Linked DNA regions of Caenorhabditis elegans. The protein of the gene in region 3 interacts with the protein of the main gene of each other region in a biochemical or structural test. Each region holds a gene or a part of one and is shown on either strand. Other genes may lie near its edges.

Region 1 (6,480 bases), on a different chromosome or scaffold from region 3:
GAACTGTTGTGGAGGTTCGAATTTCGAAAAAAGGAGGACGGTGGATTCGTCCGAAGCAAAATTTCAAGAAAAGAACATCAGGTACGGAGAAAATAGGTTTTTTTTGAGTTATTTTCTGAATAAGAAACTTTCTCGAATACAGAAAATGTATTGCAGGCATTAGATTATAAAAGTAGAATATATTTTTATTAGTTATTTTCTTTTAAAAAAAACATGTATTAAAAAAATCTTTCTCAATATATTAACTTCAGGTGTCTCCACAAATCGCCAGGCTCATCGAACACCTCCAAAAAAGAAACCTCTCATAAACGTTGGCTCTCGTCCAAAAGCTTTCGGATTTGTTAGATTTGTTGATTCTGATTCAGCTGCTGCAATGGTTCGGGATTTTATTGTTAACGATCCATCCATAAAATATCAAAAACACGAAAAACGTAAAAAAGAAGCGGAATTAGTTCGTCGACAGGAGGAAAACGAAGAAGAAGAAATTCCAGATATTCTGAGCCCTGGAGAAATCGACGATCTGGAACCGCCAGTTGTGCCCCAGGAATTTCCGCCGCGACTCAGGCCATTCGTCGAACTTTACATGACAAAGTTATTAAGAGAAATTCGGTTTTTAAAAATGCGACGAAAGCGGAGGCCGTGGCCAATGTATATGAGATTGAGAAAGTTGGAAAGAAGGTTTGCTGAGCTGAAACGTCGAGAATTTGCGTGTCTCCGAAAATCAGGAGCCATTCAACCGAGGAAGAGGATCAGGAAAAATCTGAAAACTCAAATTGTACGAAACCTTCTATGAATTTTTTAACAGTTAAATTCGGTATTTTCAAACTATTTTCTGTTATTTAGAGCAACAAAAACCACCGACGCTACTCCACAATTAAAAAATACATTAATTAAAAGGGAAAATAATTCTTAAACTAACTATTTCCAGGAATCTGCATTCTCCCCGTCGACTTCTATCCCATCATGCTCAACTGGTCGTGCTCCTCCTCCAACTTCACCTGAAGACGAAGCCCCTTCGACTTCCGAAAGTCTACAAAATCCAATTCCATACCACATCAATATTGAGCGATCACGAAACAAGAGGAAGAAAAAGTCGAAAAAAGAAAAACCGAAGAAGAAAAAACCGCCAACAAAAAAGGAGGAAGGTATTGAGAAACCAGAACTTGTCAAGAAGAAGAAGAATCGGCGGAGGAAGAGGAAGAAAATGTGCCGAAAACTTGCCAAGTACATTCCAGGAGGCCAGGTTCGAAGATTTTTCGAGACGATTCAAGTTTTTTCGTTGAAAAAGTATCTGGAAATGAAGCGACAATGGCAAGAGTTGATCAGGCTGGAACAAGAACGAATGAGAGAAGATCAAGCTATTGAAGTTCCCGATATGGAGTTTTAATTTAAAAATGTATTTTCTAATAATTATTGTAAAATCCCCACACATGCCATTTCCCTGTTAAAATTTCAAGAAAAAAACCACGGTTCAATCTCTAGATCTACATCAATCAATTTTTATGAACTATTCATCCCGATTTTTTTGTATAATATATTGTTTTTTGATTTATTCTTGTTGTTTCAGAGCACAATTTTTAGACAAAAAATACAGGAACAAGAAAGCAAATGGATAGGGCGATGGATATGCGAAGGTGAAATTTTTATAAAGAAGGAGAATTTTTTAGGATGGGAAGGGATTGATCGAGTTGAATTTGACGAGACGTTTCCAGGGGGTGCCAGTTATCCGAAATTTTCAATGATTTTATTGGAAATTACTTAGCCCACGCGGCTTTCTCCTTCTTCTCAGTGTCTTCCTCATCGAGTGCGAATTCGTTCTTGTCGACAACCTTGAGTTGAGCACGGAAATCGACTTTGGTGGCTTCCTTCTTCTTAAGCTTGTCGAATTTTCCCTCGGTCTTGGACACCTTCTTCAGGGTTGGCTTCACGCTGGAAATTTTAAATTTTTATTTTTTGGATGAAACTTTAATTTTTTGCCGTTTCAACATTCGGTCCTGTCGAGACCGGGATTGATATGTATTTTGCGTTAAAAATTGTAAATTTTCGCATCTGGGTATCATATGAACATTCGCTCTATGAAGCTAAAAATGAACTGTATACTCCCGTGTACTGTAGCTGAAAAGTTTGCGTTCGTGTCAGGACCCGAAATTGGTGAAGCTAACAGTTCTCAAAATTTTCTACAATATCAATATTTTTTGATTTGGTGTCATTTTCGTAATTAATTTTCCTATTTCCATTTGAAAAAATTTCCCGTTTCAAGATAGTAATATCAAAAATGGCGAAAAGTATTTTCTCAGTGCCATCCAATAATTATGTGGTTAAAATGAATACCCCCAAAAACTCAAAAAATATAAAAAACGAACAATTTTCCGCGAAGATCGTTGACAGCAATGGTCAACTCGTTGATCTCGAAATCCTTTTGACGAACGATGTAGCTGACGTCATAGTTTTCAGACTCAAGATCGATGAGTCTCTCGCGGATTTCATCGTAGACTGCCTCGAGGTCATCTGGAAAATTTAATAAAGATAAAACTCATGTAGGTAACCGCCCGGAATTATGAAGTTTTTACAGAGTTTTAACACTTTTTAAAGTAGTCTATTAGATTTAAAAAATTCAAGTTTTTATTTAAAAATTTTACTGTTTCGTATTTTCTATTTAACCAAACGTATTTTGGAGAGGTATTGACATCCTAGCAAAATGTTCTTTAATTACTAAATTAAGTGTTTTGTTCTATATTTTCATACATAATTGCATTTTACTGATATCCAAAAGTAGCATAAAATAGTTGTTTTCATCTTCAGAACACTTACCTTCGTTATCCAAATCTGGAAGTGGAATGATTCTTTCTTGAAGAATACGTTGTCTCTCTTGCTCTTTCAACATTTGTTGTTGCTTCAAATCTTCGGCGGCCTTCATCATCAAAAGCTTACGAAGCTTCTTCTTTCTCTCAGGTGTCAAGAATCCTTTCTTGGCTTTCTTCATTCTTGAGGCCTCCTCGAGACGCTTACGCACCTCTTCCTTCTTGCGCTCGCGCTCCGCCATTTTGCGCGCCTAGAAATGTGAATTTGAGGTACGGAAATGGGAATATGGCGGTTACGGTAACTCAATATTTGAACTGAAGACGAAACATGACAAGGGTGAACCAAAAATATTTTGCAGAACAAAAAATCCTTAATATTAAAAATATACTTACTGAGTATTTAAAATCTTTATGGGGTCTTGTAACGGCAGCTTTTATGTAATTCGCTTTTCAACTAAGTAAAAGACATTATAAACAGTTTCAACAAGTATATGAATCATTTACAATCACTATACATCAAAAAGGTGAACAATTTTTTATTTATTTTAAAGTTACTGTTTCAAAAAAACTATAACCAAAAATGTTTCTAACTATAAACACTATGTTTTTATATAAATAATATGAACATATACAGTCGCGCCAAAGCAATCGCTTCGTCTTAGTAAGTAAGGTCTTAGTAAGATCTTGCTTGTTCACAAACACGTTTTTTTTAAATTTTACTAATTTTTTATACCAAAGCTCACAATTTTCAAACTAGTCGAATAAATATATATATATATATATATATATTGTTTCAACGAGCCCACAAATTACAGTCACATTATAGTAAACGAATGCATTGTTTCCCACTAATTCATTTCTATTTCAAAAACTGTTACAGTTTCAGATTGTTGTTAATTTATGAATTAAAACAGTTTCATGTTTATTGAAGGGTTTATCCCAAAAACACTGGAAATATTTTCATTTTTACAAGTAAAAACTATCTCAAATTTTCTTTCAGATTTCAAGAAAAAATATAAAATAACTCAATAAAAACCATTTCCAACAAAAAAACCAAATCTGTACTTAAAATTTTCAACTGTCTAGACTTACTTCTGCATCCATATGTGGGGGATAAGGCTGGAAACTTTTTTTGGTTTACCAAAAAGTTTACAAAATTACTGTTTCATGTGTTTTACAAATTCAAATCAATTTTTATCTTTGCAATGAAATAAAACCACGACTCACCTCATCAGCGTCAACGTCACTCATGGTTATTGGTTATCACCTGAAATAATTTAATACGTAATTTAAAGAAGATCCCAATCAGAACAAGATCTACGAGATGAATCATTGATTGCTGTGAAACGGTAAAAGTTGGGTTGAGACAAAGAAAAGATAACGAAAAAGTGTGGGGGACACGGCGAAAATGCCAAGAAATTTGCTCGGAGAAACTGAATTGGCTCGGCTTTTCCCGATTGCCTGGTAAGTGTGTTTTCGAAATAGCACGGAAAATGAAGAGACGAGAGGAAGATATTTGCGAAAGGGGGATCCCGGCGCCTCCCACCACCTCCTCTTCAGTTACAGTAACATGGAAATAGTATGGATTATTGAGAGATTTAGAGCATCACGGGAAGAAGCGGGTGCTTGAGAATATCCTCAGTCTGTTGCAGTCAAGGGAATTGTTGGAAAAAAAAATGGAAGGGATTGGAGTTGAAGTGAGAAAAAATTATATTAAAAATGGTTGCTGCTTTGGTTCTTGAATAGAAGTAGATAATTTTATGAGAACTGAAACATTTTTAAAGGCAAATGATTATTTTCTTATGGGTATAATAATCATAAGCTTGTTTAAAACTGAAAACTAATAGTAAAAAATTTGAATTTCCAAGGTTCCTAGAAAAACTTCTAGTTTTTGCTGAAAAAGCCTGACACTGAAAAGTAAATTTTCAGACCAAAAAAAGTATCAAGACAATATTTCTACTGAAAGAAACTAAATTTTTAGCATTTCAAAATGATAACTTCGTTACTATGATAAATTAACTTGCTTTAAAAAATTTCCTATTATTTTATCGAAGAAACAGTAAATTATTTAAATTCTATCAGGACAACAACAAGCTTAAAATGGGAACTGTGAATCATGATTGGAAATCGCCTGTTATTTTTATACCAGTAAAATGTATGTTCAGTTGATTCCACGTAGGCAGAAAAATATCTGCCTGCCTGCCTTATGACTGTGCCTACCGCCAATCAGCTGCTGAATTTTTGACAACATAGAAAGCTTCACATGTGAGCTTTGTAGCTTTCAGATTGCTACTTTTTTAATTGAAGGCAATCAATTTTGGTACTCGTTTTAATTAATGCTTCAATAAGTCATTAACTGCTGTAGGAGATTTAAAATTATGATGAAAATAAAAAAAATACCGGAAAATAAATTCAGTTTCTCTAACAAGTTTTATCTTACTATTAGAAACTAGTTTGAAATCAAATATGATTTGAGGCTCAAAAATATTTTTTGTTACAACACGACTTGAAGGTACAAGTTTCCGTAAAAAATATGATAAGTTGTCCAAAGGTTTCAAATACATTTTTTTTGCAGTTCTCACTGTTCACAGTAATCAAAAAAATATACGATTATGTTTAATAAATACAATTGCAAATTTTGTTGAATTCAAAAAATTTGCGCGTTTAAATAGTACTATAGACCCCACCCCTGTCGTTGCCAATTTTTCTTCGATTTTTAAACCTTGACTTGTAAAAAATTCCATAATTTGGGAACTTCAGTAAGACTGGGCACCGTATTTTAATAAGAAAATTCAAAACTGGGTAGCAGATGATTGTCCGGAAAGTTTTAATGAAGTTTCGCTGAAAGATTTAAACACTTATATCGCCTTGATGAAACCGTAATTGTTGGTATATGTTCCCACGGTAACATATTTTTCATTTTTCAAATGGCTCCACCTGCCTTCTGCCTACCACGCACTTTTGCCTCTATCTCGTAGCGCAAGATAGCCCACGTTTTGTCTGATATAATCATAGGGTTTGGGGGATAGAAAGAGAGAAAGGGAAAACTTCTCAAGAGTTGTCATTTTGTGCGCGAGCTTGTTTGATTACTATCTCTCTCTTTTCCCATTTTAAAGCTACAGAAATCCGGCTATTTTCTCTGCGTCTATATGCTACTATGATGGGAGAGAAGAGCTTTATGAAGGTGGGGGTGGAACAAAGTACTCATCATCATGCGGGTTTCTTTAGAGACAATCTTTTTTGTTAAAAAGGAGGGGTGAAATGTTGCATTTTCAAGTGAACCTATAAGTCATATTCATCGTATTACCGGGATACGATAACATCGGAAAATTGTGAAATACTCTTTTGGACCCACAATAAAGTCATCGTTTGCAAAAAATAACTTGTAACCAGTCGTTGGTGGAACCTCAAAACTTAAGATTATTGCAGTTCCAAAACTTGCTAGTTCTAACTTTGCCTGATCGACGACCAACTATCTGACGAATAGCTTTGGTAGTAAATGGCAAACGTAAAACAGTAAAATTACAAAAACAAAATTAAGTGTCTCAGTAATGTTTCAAAGCCCTAATATTTTTTCACATAGAAATTTTTCTTCAAATAATCACTGCGATATCAAAATATCTGAAAAAGTAAATATTTTCCCTAATAGTAAGCCCGCAATAAAGTCGAATGTTTTAAG
Region 2 (5,171 bases), on a different chromosome or scaffold from region 3:
CCGAATCCAAAAAAATCAATATGAAAATCGCCTGTGAGGTCCTCATAGCGCCTGAAATTGACTTAATATTTCGACTAATTTCGTAAATATAACTGGAAGTCTGAGAAACTGCAAAAATTTCAAGACAAAAAGCACATAAATCTAGTTTTTCTGTGTTTTTCCAAGAAAAATCCGATAATCCACAGCTCGCGTAAATCGACAAGAGTAGTGCAGTAGAGCGCACTCGCTGGGTTCCCTCGTGTACAGGCAAGTGGCAGATGTTATGTGAACGATGATGTGGACGACAGAGAAATGGACAACAGTTATGGAAAACCGAAATTGACAAAGAGAAAGAGGATGTTGAAAATACAATTTAAATTGAAAAACAAAAAGTACACAGTGTACCTGAAAGTGAAAGTCTGATAAAACACGACCAGAGACTATTTTGCAAAAAATTATGAAATAAATGAGTTGATTGAAACTTGAAACTTGTGAATTACGTCACTATGAATGAAATATGAACTCAGTAAAAGGTAATTTGTTTTGTTCTACTTTTAAAAAAATGAATAAATACTTGTTTTTATTTCAATTCTCTAGAACTCCAATACATTAAAAATTTTTTTTTTGCTGAAATGACGTCAGAAATGACGTCTAAAACTGTTATATAACATTATACATTAACAATTAATCCCTAACTTTTGGTAAATTTTATTCAAAATTTCTTTTGGGAAATCACAGGCTCATACGATGCACTAAAACTGTTTCAAAAATTTGAACAGTACTGAAAATGAATCATGTGGTCTTAATATTTACCTGTACGGTGCAGATCTTTGCTGATGACAACGCGTGAGGAACAATGATGAAACATAACTTTCACACGTAGCACACATGGCAACCGGTTTTGTTCAAAAAAAACCTTTCCGAACGATCATTAACACTTATCAAGTATGTTTAATGAAAACATTTAAACTTTGCCATTTAAATAATCTTAAAAATGTTCCCCAATTAGATTTGAATTAATCTTTGAAAACTGATAGGAAAAACTTGTCTGATACCAGTTTTTTTTTGTTTATTAGACTCAGTAATATACTAGTACAGTACTTTTGGAAAACTATTGACTTTTCATTGAAATGTGCTCTCCTGTTTGCTTTTCCAAGCTATCAACTTCCCTTGATTTTCTCCATAGATCACGATAATCTTCAAATTTACTGCAGCATTGTATCATAACAGCTAAACTGTGAATATGAATATTGCTGATTAAGTTCTGCACAATTAAAAGAGATATTTTCATGTATCAATTTTCAACAGATGGAAACTTGATCGAAATTTTGAAATTGCAAGAACAGTTTTTTTGGCGTCTGTGGTGTTGAATGTTGTGAGTGTTTCAAAATTGTGTCAAAAATATTTGAAATACTTTTTGAAACGTTATCTGACAAATGAGTTTGTCAAAGCGTCCCAAAATTATTCGCACTATTCTTAGAGCCCAGGAGAGTGATCCTCTCATGTTTTCCTCCCACGTTCTCCTTCACTTATCACTTTTAACCAGACACTCCCTACTACACTTCACACTTCCTTCTCATATTTCTTCAAGGATTCAAACACACAAGTCTGACCACCAAGATTTTATTAGCACACACGTTGTTGACATTTAAATTTCCGGGACCCATCGAAGGAAGAATAAAATGGTAAAAAAGTATTTTACAAACTACAGAATATTGATGTTGGCATATTTTTTTTTGGGGAGGGGGGTTGTTCGGTTTGATGACGTCGATTTGGATGATGTTGAGCAGGATTGAAGTGATGGATTTAGGAGTTTACTCCTCCTCCTCCTCCTCTCCTTCCTCTTCCTCTGCAAGTTTTCAGTTATCGAGAAAATCTAAATCATTTTTGACAAACCGGCTTCTGGCTCAGCCTCGGCTTCCTCTGCAACTGGCTCAGCTTCTGGAGCAACGGCAGCTGGAGCGGAGTCTTCGGCCTTGGCATCCTTGTTCTTCTTGGACCAATCTGGCTTGTCGTCCTTCTTCTTCTGAAATTGAAATATTTGTTTATCAAAATTCTCGAACATTGCAGATAAAACTTACAACATTGACGATGGCCTCCATAACGTCCTTCTTGACAATCTTGAGGTTGGCACGGAAGTCTTCCTTGGTTCCGGCCTTGCTCTCACCGCTCTTCTTGAACTTGTTGTCGTACTTCGACACCTTCTTGAGTGAAGGCTTGACGCTGAAAAATAAAAAGTAAAATCAATACTTTGGATGATTTTACATATATGGGAAATTCATCAAAAACTGATAAAAACTCACAACTTTCCACGAAGATCGTTGACCTCAATAGTGAGGGAGTTGATCTCAGCCTCAGTCTGGGAGACGACGTAGTTGATGTCGTACTTCTCCTCCTCGAGCTGGGTAAGACGAGCCCAGAGGTCATTGTAGATCTTCTCGAGTTGTCCCTTATCATCAATGGAGTCAACATTTGGAAGTGAGATGGTTCTGTCAGCAAGAGCCTTTTGTCTTTCTTGCTCCTTAAGCAATTGTTGTCTCTTAAGATCCTCGGCGGCCTTGACCATCAAAAGCTTCTGAAATCAAAAATAAGTTAAACATTTAAGTGTTCCAAAAACACAACTTACACGAAGCTTCTTCTTACGCTCTGGTGTCAAGAATCCCTTCTTGGCCTTCTTCTTGTTTCCGGCCTCTTCGAGACGCTTGCGCACCTCGGCCTTCTTGGCCTCGCGCTCGGCAGCTTTGCGCTGGGCGTCCTCTCCGGCTTCTTCACTCATCTGAAATTTTAGTTTGGGGTACAAGTATCACAAAACAGAAGATTAAATTCACAAAATGAATAATTTTTGAATGAGCATAAAACAAATTAGCGGCGAGCCTGATCATGCATCCGAAGGCCTTGTGAATTGAAATCTGAAGTATCCTGCCAATAGATGTCGCAACTCGTGAGAGGTACCTAGAGTTGGCAACAGCCGCCCCACAAACCGCCCGCCCTCCAATTCTGTATCTTTGGGTCTCTCGGACAATGCCATACAGACAGATGCTCTTTCCAACACGTCTCCCGCTTGTTGTAATGATTCTTGCCTACCAATTGCGTTGGCCGAGATTGATTGAAGACAAGCGAGAGATAGGGATAGAGCTGTGGCAACTTCAGTGGAAAAAACCAACGGAACGCGGCAAGAAGATATTGGTTTCAGATGGGGCAGTGGGTCAAGTTATGAGCTATTCGGTGAATGGGGCTCCGAACAATTTATGAAGCTAGTCTGTAGTTTTTCTGTATTTTCAAAAAGAAGATATGTGATCAAAAATCAAAATCGTACTACTAAAAATACCTAAACAATTTTTAAAATAACATACTGATTTTTCAACGGTGTCACTGAGTTCATCAATTCGATTGCTTTTTTGTAGTTGTGACATGGCTCGCTAGTGAGATCTGTAAATATTTGTTGGATAAATTGTTTCAAAAGTGAATTGGAACATGACATTTTTCATCAGAATCAAGAATAATTTTATTTATTTTTTCACAGTGTTTTGTTTTCAACCATTTCTCTTTCAGTTCCATAATTTCATGCTGTCACGTAGGATTTGAGTAGGTCAGAAAACAAAAAAACCTAAAAAAAAATTGACAAGCTGACAAGTGTGACGTGTGGAAAAATACAATAAAAATAGTCACGGTGGCCGGTGAGACTCTCTTGAAATTCAATATGTTAGGGACCATGAGTTGAAAGTGTTGCGAGGTGTGGGCAGATGTTTGAGATTTGTGATAAGTGATAAAGAAAAAAGATAGCGGGGATAATGAAATTGGGTATGCAAATCATCATTAGTTATCACAAAAAGTTGAATATTATTACTTTCAAATTGAATTTATCAGTTGTTATCATAAAGTAGTTATTTTTGACAAGACTATAAAATAAGTGAATCTAAATCATTAAAAAAATCACACATTCAAAAATCAGATCACAACGAGAAAAATCTACATTTTCCAACAATGGTAAATAACAACCCGAAACTTGTAAATAAATTCCAATTCCCTGTAACTATTTTCACACCCATTTTAGTTTATGGAGTAGTGATGGATTAAACCGATCTATTGTCCTGTTTATTTTTAACACTTTTTTCCATAAACATTCACATTCTTATCTTGAATTGTTTTCAACTGTGTTATCACGCTTTTCTGCCAATCTCCGAATAGTTTACACTGTTTTCTTCTGATGCGGCAAGCTCTATCTTTCTTTTGATACATTGTTCATTGCAACGAGTATATAGAGAAAGAGAAACATCGGAAGAAGATACAGAAAAATAGCTGATGGAGGCGATGATGATGTTTTGGTTAAAAACGTTGAGCAGTAGTGGGGGCACAAGTGTTACGAAATATTATTATACATGAGCGGTTGTCATATGGGTAAATTAATTGGCACTACCGAACTTTTACAGCTTACAATTTTTTACTTTTAGAAAATTATTTCTTGATTGCTATCAAGGAATAATTTTCATTAGAAGTAGTGTCCTCAGTGAGGTATAACTAATAATGAGCTAAATTGGGTATAAATAAAGTAATATTGGAACTTGATCACATAATCCCTGTTCAGTTGTATGTATTGGAAGTAGGTGTTGGAGCTTGCACAAATTCTCGAAATTATCCTAAAAACTCAAACTTTCCGTAAACAAAATTCACCACAGCTTCGCATTAAAATTTTTTAGAAATTCAAAAATCCTAGGAGTGTTAAATTATGACATTTGGTTATTTTGGACAAGTATAAGTGAGAGAAGGAAAAATGTGCGAGTGCTATTTTACTCATTTCGGATCTTTATTATTATCAAGAGCGCATTTATACGTTCTTGGTTAGTGACAGTATGATTAAAAAAATTTATATCGGTTTGTTGTCAAAACTTCAAAAAAAGTTTGTATAAACAATACGCTCACTCAATACGTATCGACAACTCCTCGTTCAAAAAGTAATATTAATGTACGTTTGATCACTTAAAAGCAGGATATCAAAATATTTTTATTGTTTACAATTTAAGCTGCTTTGTGAAATTTACAAAAGAGATTTATTGCAAAATCTTTAAAACCAGATGAAAATGTTATTGTGAAAAATGGATAGCAAAAGGTTAACAATGTAAGCATGAGATATGAGATTTGATGTAAATTAATATTGATATCAAATTTAAAAAAAAAATAGAGATTCAATTTTG
Region 3 (5,197 bases):
GCTCAATCTCCAGTGAAACTCGTTGCCAATCCATTCTACAATCCAGAACTTGTCAAGGAAATCAAGAAGAAATCCCGTGTTTCAGTTTAATATTATTAATTATTTTTATTTATTTTTCCTCAAACAGTTTAGTCGGTTTTTCTGATATCCAGGTTCGGTTTTTATAATTGTACTTTTTCTTGGAAATGATTACAAAATTTCTGTCCGGTATTTTTTCTGTATTGGTTTTCTCAATTTTTAACAACTGTACTTTTACTCAATTGTTTTAATAAATTAATCAGACTAATTAAAAGTTGTTTTTCACTTCAAACGACCACGCTTTCAATACTAATTGAATACAATACATTTCTGAATAAAATTTTTTTGCTAGTTCCACCATCGAAAATTCCAATTACTCCAATTACTTTAAGCTAGTATTTTGTAGCACATTCGTTTTTTTCAAAATTTTCAGATGATTGATTGATTTATTTAACATAACTAATGCAATTTACAACTGTACAATTGAATTTTGAGTGTTAAATAAAACGGTAAAACGAGACTAACCCAGAAAGAGTACGTCTCGAGTTTGGGACGGGAAAGGAGAGAGAGGGTAATGTGGTAGAAGAGATCAGTTAGAAGTCAAAGAGAACCAGCGGATAAAAGTTAATACCGGGGAATATTGAGATCGAGAAAACTTGAAAACTGATAGGGGGAGAGAAATACCGGTATATTTTTGACAAGATTGTTCCAAATAGGAATGGATTTGGCAAAGAAATGAGAGGTGCATGTGTCTTTCCTAACCAGAATCATGGGTCTCCTATTGGAATTAGAGAACTTGACAAACTGAGTTAATTTAGAGAAATGAGTAGAACCGGTAAGAAGTCTATATAATAGTTTCATTTGAGCTTTAATTCTAGTGTGTCTGGTGGAGAATAGTTCCATGATGCACAGTCTGTTTTCGTAAGAGGTGAATTTAACGTTGCACCTTTGCAGGACGCGGTTGGTGAAGGTCCTAAGCGGTTTTTCAAGTATGGCAGAGAGTGAGGAGTTGGGGGAAGGGGAGTAGATCTCAGAGCAATAGTTTATGATGGGGGCAACGTATGTTTTAAATAAGTGGCTATAAGTTAAATAAGTGGCTATAAGTAAATAAGTGGCTATAATTAAATAAGTGGCTATAATTAAATAAGTGGCTATATAATTAAATAAGTGGCTATAATTTAAAAGTTGTTTTTCACTTCAAACGACCACGCTTTCAATACTAATTGAATACAATACATTTCTGAATAAAATTTTTTTGCTAGTTCCACCATCGAAAATTTCCAATTACTCCAATTACTTTAAGCTAGTATTTTGTAGCACATTCGTTTTTTTCAAAATTTTCAGATGATAAACTGCCCAATACTATTGGAAGTTTCTATAGTAGTAACACATTGACTTACTCTTTCCCCGAATACTTCAAAAATGCCTTCAACTGTACCCACCAATGCTCTATCAGTTTACCTATCTCCGAGCCCCCGAGTTCTACTTCTATCCGGCTGTATCCCTGCACAGTGCCTTTTTATGTCTACATCTCACACATTTTAACAGTCTGTCTCCAATATCCAAACACATCCCCCGCCGACGCATTGTGTGCTCTCGTTAGAGCTCCTCCCGCGCTGTAAGCCACTTGAGCAGTTTGTGGATTTTCCCTCTCTTTTCGCATTTTGTCGAAGAAACTTTTCCTCGTGTCGATCAGGTCAATCATCAATCATGGTAAGAGTTTTGTTTTATTGGTAATTTGTAGCTAATTATGTCTATAAATAAATCTGTGAATATGTGCAATTTTGTAGGGAGACGTCGTTGCTGATGCTTTGGAAAAGCTTTCTGCCGATCAGATCGAGCAATTCCGTAAATACTTTAACATGTTCGATAAAGAGGGAAAAGGATATATTCGTGCTACCCAGGTTTGTGGAGTTTTAATTTTGTAGCAAATTGCTGTTCAAATTGGAATTTCTTGAATTTTTCTTAAAATACTCCCAAGAAATTGTTAAACTCTGAAATTCCAGGTCGGACAAATCCTCCGTACCATGGGACAAGCCTTCGAAGAGCGTGACTTGAAACAGCTCATCAAGGAGTTCGATGCTGATGGTATACTTCCCCCACCGGCCATAAATCTACAGTACCAATCCTTTTTCAGGTTCCGGAGAGATTGAGTTCGAAGAGTTCGCCGCTATGGTTGCCAACTTTGTTGTCAACAATGAGAACGACGAAGGACTCGAGGAGGAGCTTCGCGAGGCTTTCCGTCTTTACGACAAAGAAGTATGTTTATTTGCAATTTTGGTTTCTAATATTTTTAGGGAAAATGAAAGGAGAGAAGTAAATCTTGAGAAAAATATGAAAAAAGTCAATACTTTTGTCCTATGTATTTCTTCTATTTGAAATTATGTGAATTCTGAAATTCTTTTTGAAAACTTTGTTTGTTGTAAACTAATAATTTGTTGAATTCTTGAGCATGACCTTTTTTCACGTTGTCAGCTTATATCTCGGTTTTCATTAGTTTAATCAAAAATTGTCAACTGGCAAAGTATGTACAAAATATTTCTCCAAATTCTGATAGTAATTTTTCAAAAATAGAACTAAAGACAACCAAGATAGTAGCCATCAAAGTTGAGTGATGGTTCAAGAGAAAAAATACGGTATGTCATCAATATTTCTTTTACAGTCTGAACCATTGAAATTGAAGAAAATATAATTTTAAAGCCTAAATTTTAACTTTCAGGGAAACGGATATATCAACGTCTCAGATCTTCGTGACATTCTCCGTGCTCTTGACGATAATGTTTCAGAGGAAGAGCTCGACGAAATGATTGCTGAAATTGATGCTGACGGTTCCGGAACTGTCGATTTCGATGAGTTCATGGAAATGATGTCTGGAGAATAATTTTAATTTTTATCCTACCAATGATTTCTGACGGCGCCTTACCATTCACTGACTTCCAATAATTCTTTTTGTAAAAAACAACAAATCTTACATTTTCATGCTTTCAATTTATTTGATAAAAGTTGATAAAAAAAATAAAAGAAATCTCAAAAAAATATTGTAAAAAAATTCCCATGTAGTCGACCCTTTTGATGTTAGAACAAGTAATGATTAAGAATAAAATTTATAAAATAAAATTGATCATCAATTTTCCAAATACGTAGTGTAGTATTCTGTGCTGCTTGCTTGAACTTGACAGATGAAGAGCCAATCATTGGTCTGAGGTGGAGCCCAGAAGAACTGTAACAAGATTTAAGGAAAATATTGAAGTACCGTATCAACGATATAAAAATTCATTTGTTGAAAGATATTGCAAAATTCATGTTGCAAAACGACTTACATCAGTAGATCCCTCCTGCAATGGTTGTGTCGAAATAACTTGGTTCGTAGAATTTGCTTGTGGAAATCCTGGAGCCCACTTTGAATAGATCAGTGGATTAAGCTGAAACACACAATATTTTTCAAACACAAATAACAAAATCTATAAAGTACCGGAATCATGTCCTGGCCTTGAGGCTGCTCCCAGAGCCACTGATTTCCCAAGTTACGTAATCCAATGTAGTATTCCAATGGCTTGTACTTGGGGAACGAAATTGCCATGAGAACTGGAAATTAATTTATAGGTAATTTTGCTGAAATGCTTAGTTTTTGAAGTTTAATCTCACTTTGCATAAAATCGTGTTTGGCCTGACTGAACTCATTTGCTAAGTGAGCATTTTTAACTTCACTGGCACAATAATCGATGGCATGTTGGTAACCGTAACTTCCGCCAGTTGCAGTAAATCCTCGAAGACAAACTCCGTATTGAGTTCCGTTGCCAGTAAACTGAACCCAGTTTTCTGGGCAGAAGCAGTTGACTGAAATAGTTGTTGTTTGAATTCGTACTCAACTATAATTTGACTAATGTGATAAATTACCCAGGTATGTTACATCCAACCAACGATTACAATCTTTGGTTCTCTATGAATGTTGAATGCATATTAATTCCAATTAGATAGTTTCAAGAGATTTCTAATGATATGATGCCACAGACATAATAGTCATTATGCATTTTTCAGTTAGTTAACGTAAAAATATATAACGTACTGCTCAATAGCGCCGTTGTCAACTGTTTAACCAATTTAGAAGTATTCATCTCATCCACTAAACTGAATTGAGGACTAGAAATCTGTGCTAATCCATCCAATGCTGCTTGATTCGTTGTGCACGCTACCGTAATGATAATAGTATTGTCATATTTCATGCGTCTAGCAATTGGGAATGCATCATTAGAGGTTCCTGATCCTCTGAAATTTAACTTTTTAGTAATGTTACATCATTCTTTCCAGCTTACTGATAATCAGCTGCAAAAACTATAACAACTTTCAGAAAGTTGAACCGATATGTGCGGCTACGCCCATTCTTGAGTGCTTGCTCAGCCGCCAGAAGTCCTCTGAAAGTTGGTGAGTTTTGAAACTTGTGCGAGTTACTTTTTTTTTAATGAAGATCTCAACTCACTTGCTCAAATACGACGAATTTGTAGAATCGACGTTGTTCAATGATCCTTGAACCACATTGTACAAATCAGTGAAACTGTGTGGTCCGTCCAATTGAGCGTTTGTGGTAGCATCGGAATCATACGTCACAACTCCAACACATGTACTACGAGGATCCGCTGGGTATTTAGTTGGACCGATTCGAGATGAGCCAAATAATTGAGTAATGGTATTTCTGACCTAAAAACATTGTTTGTTAATTTGGACATTTGGGAAATAATTTAAGATTTTTTTAAACTTTCAAATTAAAGAAAAACTTTGATTTTTAAAAATTACAACTAACCTGCCAGAGCTGTGCATTTGTCATCAGTTGAGACTTATCAACAACTACAACTACGTCCAACCACAAGTTTTTGATATCTCCCTGGCATACCCGGTCAGCATAGACTGCTGCTGAGTTCTGTAGAACCGGTGAACATAGTGTACCTAAAAAAAATATTTAAATTCATGTCTGGTTAACTGTCGAAACCTCACCTACAACTGCCAACGTTAAAAATATGACGAGTGTACTCATTTTTTGATCAACTTCAACTTTTCGACATTTTCGATAGCATTTAAACTTTCTTAAATACCCATTTCTTGTTTCTAGATTGCTTGTCATCATCACTTGCTCCTCGCTATTATCATCTTTTTTGAAAAGTGATAAGAACACAAATGGAAATAC
Region 4 (5,477 bases), on a different chromosome or scaffold from region 3:
GAAACAAAATTGTGTTTTTATTAAAATCTATTGTTTGATTAAAACATATTAATAAATGGATGAACGTTAAATATGCAACATATTTGATCCACGTGGGGTGATCGGTGCCACGTTGTTCATGGAAAACGCAGAGATTGCAGACGGGCGACGCGAGAGTGAATCCATTGGAAGCGAACCATTAACAAAAACTGGAAGTGTGGTCGGCTCCTTAGAAGCGTCGGTTTTGATGAAATTGATTGTTGACCAGGCAAAAATGAATGCATTTGCATACGTGGCAATCCACGTGACCACTTTAAACACCTAAAATTTATTCATTGATTTTTATCGTTTGTTGAATGGTTTGTTACTTCATTCTTATAGAATCCGTAATAGGTTTGTCTTCCAGTGTCAGTCACAGACGACTTGATAGCCAGCATCATTCCTAAGTCGAGCAGATGGAAGATCAGTGTCCCGAAAATCTGTAATAAATCCAATTTATTGATATAACACATTGAGTTTTAATGAGACTCACCTGACTGGACAGCCAGATGTTCATCCGGCGCATATTCAAAACGTCGCGGGCGGTCATGTCTTGGCTGTACAACTGGGCAATCATATGCTTTCGATAAATCCACCAGATTAGAAAGCAGACGACGATCATAAAAAGTTTCATATGATCCTGAAAACAACGATTTCCTAGTTTCTGAGCTTCTCTTGAAAATATTACCGGGGTAATGAAGGAAATGAGGGTAATGATTATTCCGTAAGGTATCAAGTAGGTATGTGCCAGTTTAATTCCGCGTGGACTGAAAAATGTATTTATTAGAATGTTGTTTTGACAGAAACACATACTTTTGATTAGCGAATTGGGCAATTTGAATTATGAGAAAAGCACTGACAACAAACCAATACAAAGGCATTTGAGCCGTTACTAGCCGATCACAAATGGAGATCACAAACTTTGGAATAAATGGAAATGTTGAGTACGTAACATATTCTACCGAGTTGACCATAAAGGAAAACTGAAATTGTGTGATGCTACAGTTTTAAAACTAAAATTGAATACCTTCTGAATGACCAGTGCCGCGCCGAAAGTGATCATTTGAATAATGAAGATCGCTTTGAATGTGTGCTCGGAGATGAAGAATGTTTTTCCGTGAACCAGAAAAATTATCAGGTAGAAAGTGTAAAATAGGAATCCTAAAAACTATAAATGTATTAAAAAAATTGTGAACTAACATACCAAACATTTGTGACAGAAGTTCCAGATAGTGAATCTTCCGAAAAACGTTCAAATCAACTCCTGGGAATTGATTCGCAACTCGTGAGTTGTAGTGGAGCATTTCATCGTAGGATGAAAATTGAACTCTTTCCATATTAAACCAATCTCGAGTTTAACTCAGAATCAAAATGGCTTATCGAGCTCCTTTTATTTCGTCTCAACCCGGTTACACTTGGTGACGTCGGAGAAGGCGGCGATTTGCGTTTCCAGGTGTTTTTGCCTTATTCCCTGTTTCATTTACATTTGTTAGTTTGACAGCTGAAAATCGTTAGGATAATTCACACAAATAGAAATGCCTTTCTGTGCTGCTTTCGAGTTTTGCTCTGTAATTCCGGGTTGGTGATAACTTCATTTATTGCGAATATGCAGAAAAGAATAAGATGGAATATTACTGAAAGAATACAAAGAATGTATACTGGAAATTTTGAAACAGTATAACGGCAGAACAAAACAAATGAAGATTTATAAAAAAGGGCCAAATACCTTTTACATGCACAAAATTTTAAGAATACTCAAACTCAAAAGGCACATAAATTGAATTGATGAAATGTATTATACGCGAGAATGATTAGTTAGATTCAGTGAACAAGATAATGACAACAATGCCGGTATTTATTCCTCGTCGGCTTCTTCTTCTTCTTCTTCTCCCTCAGAAGCAGCAGTTTCTTCTTCCTCAACTGGCTCAATAACTGGTTCTGGGGCGCTTTCTTCCTTCTTCTCTTCCTTCTTCTTGGACCATTCTGGCTTGTCAGATTTCTTCTGAAATGTGGATTATTGTAAATTCAATTCATCAAATATCAATTTGAAAACAATTTTTAAAGTTATGTTGATAAAATAAGTATATGTTTCTGAGTACTACAAATTGATATAATTTATTATTTTGAGTTTTTTGGATTCTAAATGTCAATTTTAAACATTGTATTTAATGTTCTATATTGATGTATTGTTTCAGCCAGTTTTCAATATTGTGAACACAAAATATGTGTTCTAGAAATTTTTCTGGCAGGCTACTTTTTGTTAACATGTTTTTCTTGACAGTTCAAGTAAAAACTAGTTTTATATTCCAGTTAAACTTATTACAAACTTACCTTGTTGGCAATTTGAGTGAAGACGCTCTCTTTCTTTACTGTCTTGAGATTATTTCTCAAGTTCTTGCTTCCATCTTCCTTCTTGGCTTCAGCCATCTTCTTGAACTTGTTGTCATACTTGGACACCTTCTTCAATGATGGTTTTACGCTGAAAATAGTTTTTTCTCATGTCATGCGGAATTGGAGCAGGTGAAAACACACTAGCACTGCTGGGTTTATTTAAAGACATACAATTTTCCACGAAGATCGTTAACCTCAATGTTGAGTTGATTAATTGTAGTTTCAGTCTCTGTGGTGATGTGGTTGATATCATATTTCTCTTCCTCCAAGTTGCAGAGGCGGGAGAACAAATCATTGTAGATAGCCTCGAGCTTAGCTGAAATATACACAATTTTGTTTGTTGCCTAAAGCACTGAACGAACCGTGATCATCAATGCTGTCAACATTTGGAAGAGCAACGGTTCTTTCAGCAAGGACCTTGACTCTTTCTTGTTCCTTCCGCAATTGCTGTGTCTTAAGATCCTCAGCAGCCTTGTTCATAAGAAGCTTCTGAAAATGAATCTGTAAGTGTTGAAAGTCAAATGTTCTCTTACGCGGAGCTTCTTCTTTCTTTCTGGAGTCAAAAATCCTTTCTTCTGTTTCTTTTGTCCTGCTTCTTCAAGGCGCTTGCGCACCTCGGCCTTTTTGGCTTCGCGTTCTTGGGCTTTTCGTTGGGCATCCTGAACAATATCGTTTCAAAAACACAAATGACTTTGTTTTGTTTACCTCGCCATCGGTTTCGTTGGCAGCTCCGCCGTAGCGAATGTTCTCATCAATTTGGCTCATTTTCAAGTCCTTAAATGCAAATTGATTAGAAGCACATTTACAGAAAACAAAGGTTACGACTACTATGGGATGTGCCAAGCAATTGGTGGAAAGCGTTAGAGGTACGGTGGGTGTGAAGGTATTCAAGGGTGTGTGTAAACGTGAGAAAGGGGATTCAAATTGAAAACAGATTGATAGAAGAGGCAAAACCATGAAACGGAATGAGTCTAAAGTGTTTGGGTGTGAGGTTTGCTGGAACGATACGCACACAAACGGTATTTTTATCAGCTCAGTGAATGTTGTTCGAAAAAAAAATAAATAAAGGAAGACTTAGTGATGGGTGTGTTATTAAGCGATTGAAACATTAGTGCAGATCCAACTAACTTTCTAGTCAAAAATTTGAAAGTAAGTGTATATTAAAAAGATAAAAAATGACTGAAATGCATGCGCTCACTTTGGCAGGTTGATGTAAGAAGTGAAGAAGTACGACAACATTGTGTTGGTTACCTTGTATTCAGCCAAGAGATTCTGGAGCAATTGATTACCAAATTTATGACTGTTTTTCAGAAAAAAAACACATTAGGTACATGATCGTCATATATTTCAGACATGGTTTCAAAATTGTTATTGTTGGTAATGAACCAATTTTGGTGCTCCAATAAACACTTTGTCAGTTTAGTTGTAATGTATTGTTCGAACCACTGTAGGAGTATATTACAATAACCTGTACGCCTATCGCAGTACTTTGAAATTTTAAATACATTCTGAAAATTTCAATCTGCAAAATTTTACAAATAACAAACATTACAATTTTTAACGTGGTTATGTGCGAGTGGTGATGTTTAAATTGGGACAGTGCAAGTGCGAGCGAAGTGAACAGAGGGAGAAAATAATATCGGAAAACATAAGATTTTCGAAGTTAGAAGCGCAAAGACATGTTAGGTGAAAAAAGGTAATGGAAGCTATAGGGGAAGTTAAAATTAAACAATGAATTTATGGTGGAATGGCCATCACCAACTGATTCAGTGCGAGTGTTTTAGTTTTTGAAACCAAAAACGTGAAGGTGAGAGTTGTTAGTTGAGCGGATGTTGTTAGGAAGCAAGGAAAGGTGGTGGATAGAAGGACAATAATTGTAGTTGAAAGGAAAATTCGAAGTGAGTGAAGTGCTCTGCAGAAGCTCTGAGAACAAAATGAGCATACACCATTTTTTCGCGAGGGCTTCCGAAACTGACAGCTTAAGCGGTAATTATCGTGTAATGGCTTTCTTGAAAGGCGTTTCATTGCGTGTTTTGTTAGCCTCGGTCATGAATCTGACAGCGAATAGTAATCAAATTATAATACTAAAAATGAAATTTTCGGATCTAAGAATTGGTGGTAGAAACAATTTTACGTTGCTCAAAACATACAAATTTGAAGTAGTAGTGCGTGAAAAACGACGACTGATGTGAGTGAATAGAAAGACTTCAAAACGAGAAGTGAGCACAAATAAAAATTTAATGAAGGTCTTATTATGTAGCTAGAGGCAGGAAAAGGGGAGAGAATACTGAATACTCAGTTTTGGTTGAAGTAGTTTCTTTTTTCATCATAGATTGAGTGAGCAAAAATATATTTATTAAAAAGTATATGATTTGATTCTCATTCCAGACAAGTCTCGAGTTTTTGTAATGGAAAAGAAACAAAACTCTGAAAGTAAGTTTTGAAATTAAAATATGCAGAAGAAGCACAGTTGAATGGGCTGAAAACGAAATGAGTTGAACTAGAAGACATAAATGGGAAAAGGGATAGAAAGAAGAAGCATAAGATGACGAAGAAGAAGGAAAGGGGAAGAAAAAGAAATAAGAAGATTCTGGAATGAAGAATGGGAATAGCTTTCGATGTGCCGTCGCATTGCGGGGGTTGCTGAGATTTGATTTGCGAGTGCTTGGCTGCGATCAGACAGAATGTATTGAAGTAGCATCAAAAAACTGGAGGAGGTGGCAGGAGAGCAAAAGACAGGACACACGGCTGGTGTCAGTTGGCTGGCTCGCCGAATAGTACAATGTGTGGCGGCCTGGAGCTGGACATTAAAGACATCAGAGCTCGGGCAACGTTTTGATGGGATTTCAGTGCTCTCCTGGAATCGCGTTGTGTCTTCTACTCCTCTGATCATTTGTTTCGAGAAGAGCAACGCTAAGCTCCGTGGATCGTGTTGTAATACTCATTTTGATGTGCCCTTCAATTCGACGCAGTAACAGCAAAAATAAAACGTGGCGGACCTCTCTGCCCACCCACCCATATGTTGTATTAGCTTCCTGATCAAATGTGTCAATGGAAAACACAGATAG

Evidence for each region.
Region 1: the proteins of tnc-2 (region 3) and tni-4 interact in far-western blotting, tested with the Caenorhabditis elegans proteins (2 studies listed by BioGRID).
Region 2: the proteins of tnc-2 (region 3) and unc-27 interact in far-western blotting, tested with the Caenorhabditis elegans proteins (2 studies listed by BioGRID).
Region 4: the proteins of tnc-2 (region 3) and tni-1 interact in far-western blotting, tested with the Caenorhabditis elegans proteins (2 studies listed by BioGRID).

The regions. Positions count from the first base shown.
Region 1 is NC_003282.8:5,202,179-5,208,658, reverse strand, and holds tni-4 (Troponin I 4), read right to left. Parts: upstream 4,069-6,480; 5' UTR 4,053-4,068; coding exon 4,029-4,052; exon of another isoform or gene 4,008-4,028; intron 3,745-4,007; exon of another isoform or gene 3,724-3,744; intron 3,657-3,723; exon of another isoform or gene 3,636-3,656; intron 3,086-3,635; exon of another isoform or gene 3,065-3,085; intron 3,053-3,064; coding exon 2,812-3,052; intron 2,705-2,811; exon of another isoform or gene 2,683-2,704; intron 2,509-2,682; coding exon 2,364-2,508; intron 2,319-2,363; exon of another isoform or gene 2,298-2,318; intron 1,930-2,297; coding exon 1,755-1,929; 3' UTR 1,535-1,754; downstream 1-1,534. Other genes in the region: Y59E9AL.36 (RRM domain-containing protein), read left to right, coding at 1-81, 252-775, 929-1,387. UniProt on the Caenorhabditis elegans protein: Troponin I is the inhibitory subunit of troponin, the thin filament regulatory complex which confers calcium-sensitivity to muscle actomyosin ATPase activity.
Region 2 is NC_003284.9:8,787,040-8,792,210, reverse strand, and holds unc-27 (Troponin I 2), read right to left. Parts: upstream 2,756-5,171; coding exon 2,606-2,755; intron 2,555-2,605; coding exon 2,283-2,554; intron 2,203-2,282; coding exon 2,061-2,202; intron 2,006-2,060; coding exon 1,876-2,005; intron 1,829-1,875; coding exon 1,794-1,828; 3' UTR 1,590-1,793; downstream 1-1,589. Other genes in the region: chup-1 (Cholesterol uptake protein 1), read right to left, coding at 1-46.
Region 3 is NC_003280.10:10,465,209-10,470,405, forward strand, and holds tnc-2 (Troponin C), read left to right. Parts: upstream 1-1,643; 5' UTR 1,644-1,728; coding exon 1,729-1,731; intron 1,732-1,808; coding exon 1,809-1,922; intron 1,923-2,024; coding exon 2,025-2,106; intron 2,107-2,155; coding exon 2,156-2,277; intron 2,278-2,737; coding exon 2,738-2,899; 3' UTR 2,900-3,142; downstream 3,143-5,197. Other genes in the region: sdz-37 (SKN-1 Dependent Zygotic transcript), read left to right, coding at 1-90; clec-143 (VWFA domain-containing protein), read right to left, coding at 3,143-3,238, 3,339-3,440, 3,491-3,603, 3,664-3,855, 4,085-4,284, 4,332-4,430, 4,496-4,713, 4,817-4,959 and 1 more.
Region 4 is NC_003284.9:11,374,288-11,379,764, forward strand, and holds tni-1 (Troponin I 1), read right to left. Parts: upstream 3,184-5,477; 5' UTR 3,175-3,183; coding exon 3,115-3,174; intron 3,069-3,114; coding exon 2,943-3,068; intron 2,899-2,942; coding exon 2,772-2,898; intron 2,726-2,771; coding exon 2,581-2,725; intron 2,498-2,580; coding exon 2,350-2,497; intron 2,021-2,349; coding exon 1,874-2,020; 3' UTR 1,600-1,873; downstream 1-1,599. Other genes in the region: F42E11.3 (Brp/Blh family beta-carotene 15,15'-monooxygenase), read right to left, coding at 312-458, 512-658, 707-785, 832-1,001, 1,046-1,179, 1,223-1,322. UniProt on the Caenorhabditis elegans protein: Troponin I is the inhibitory subunit of troponin, the thin filament regulatory complex which confers calcium-sensitivity to muscle actomyosin ATPase activity.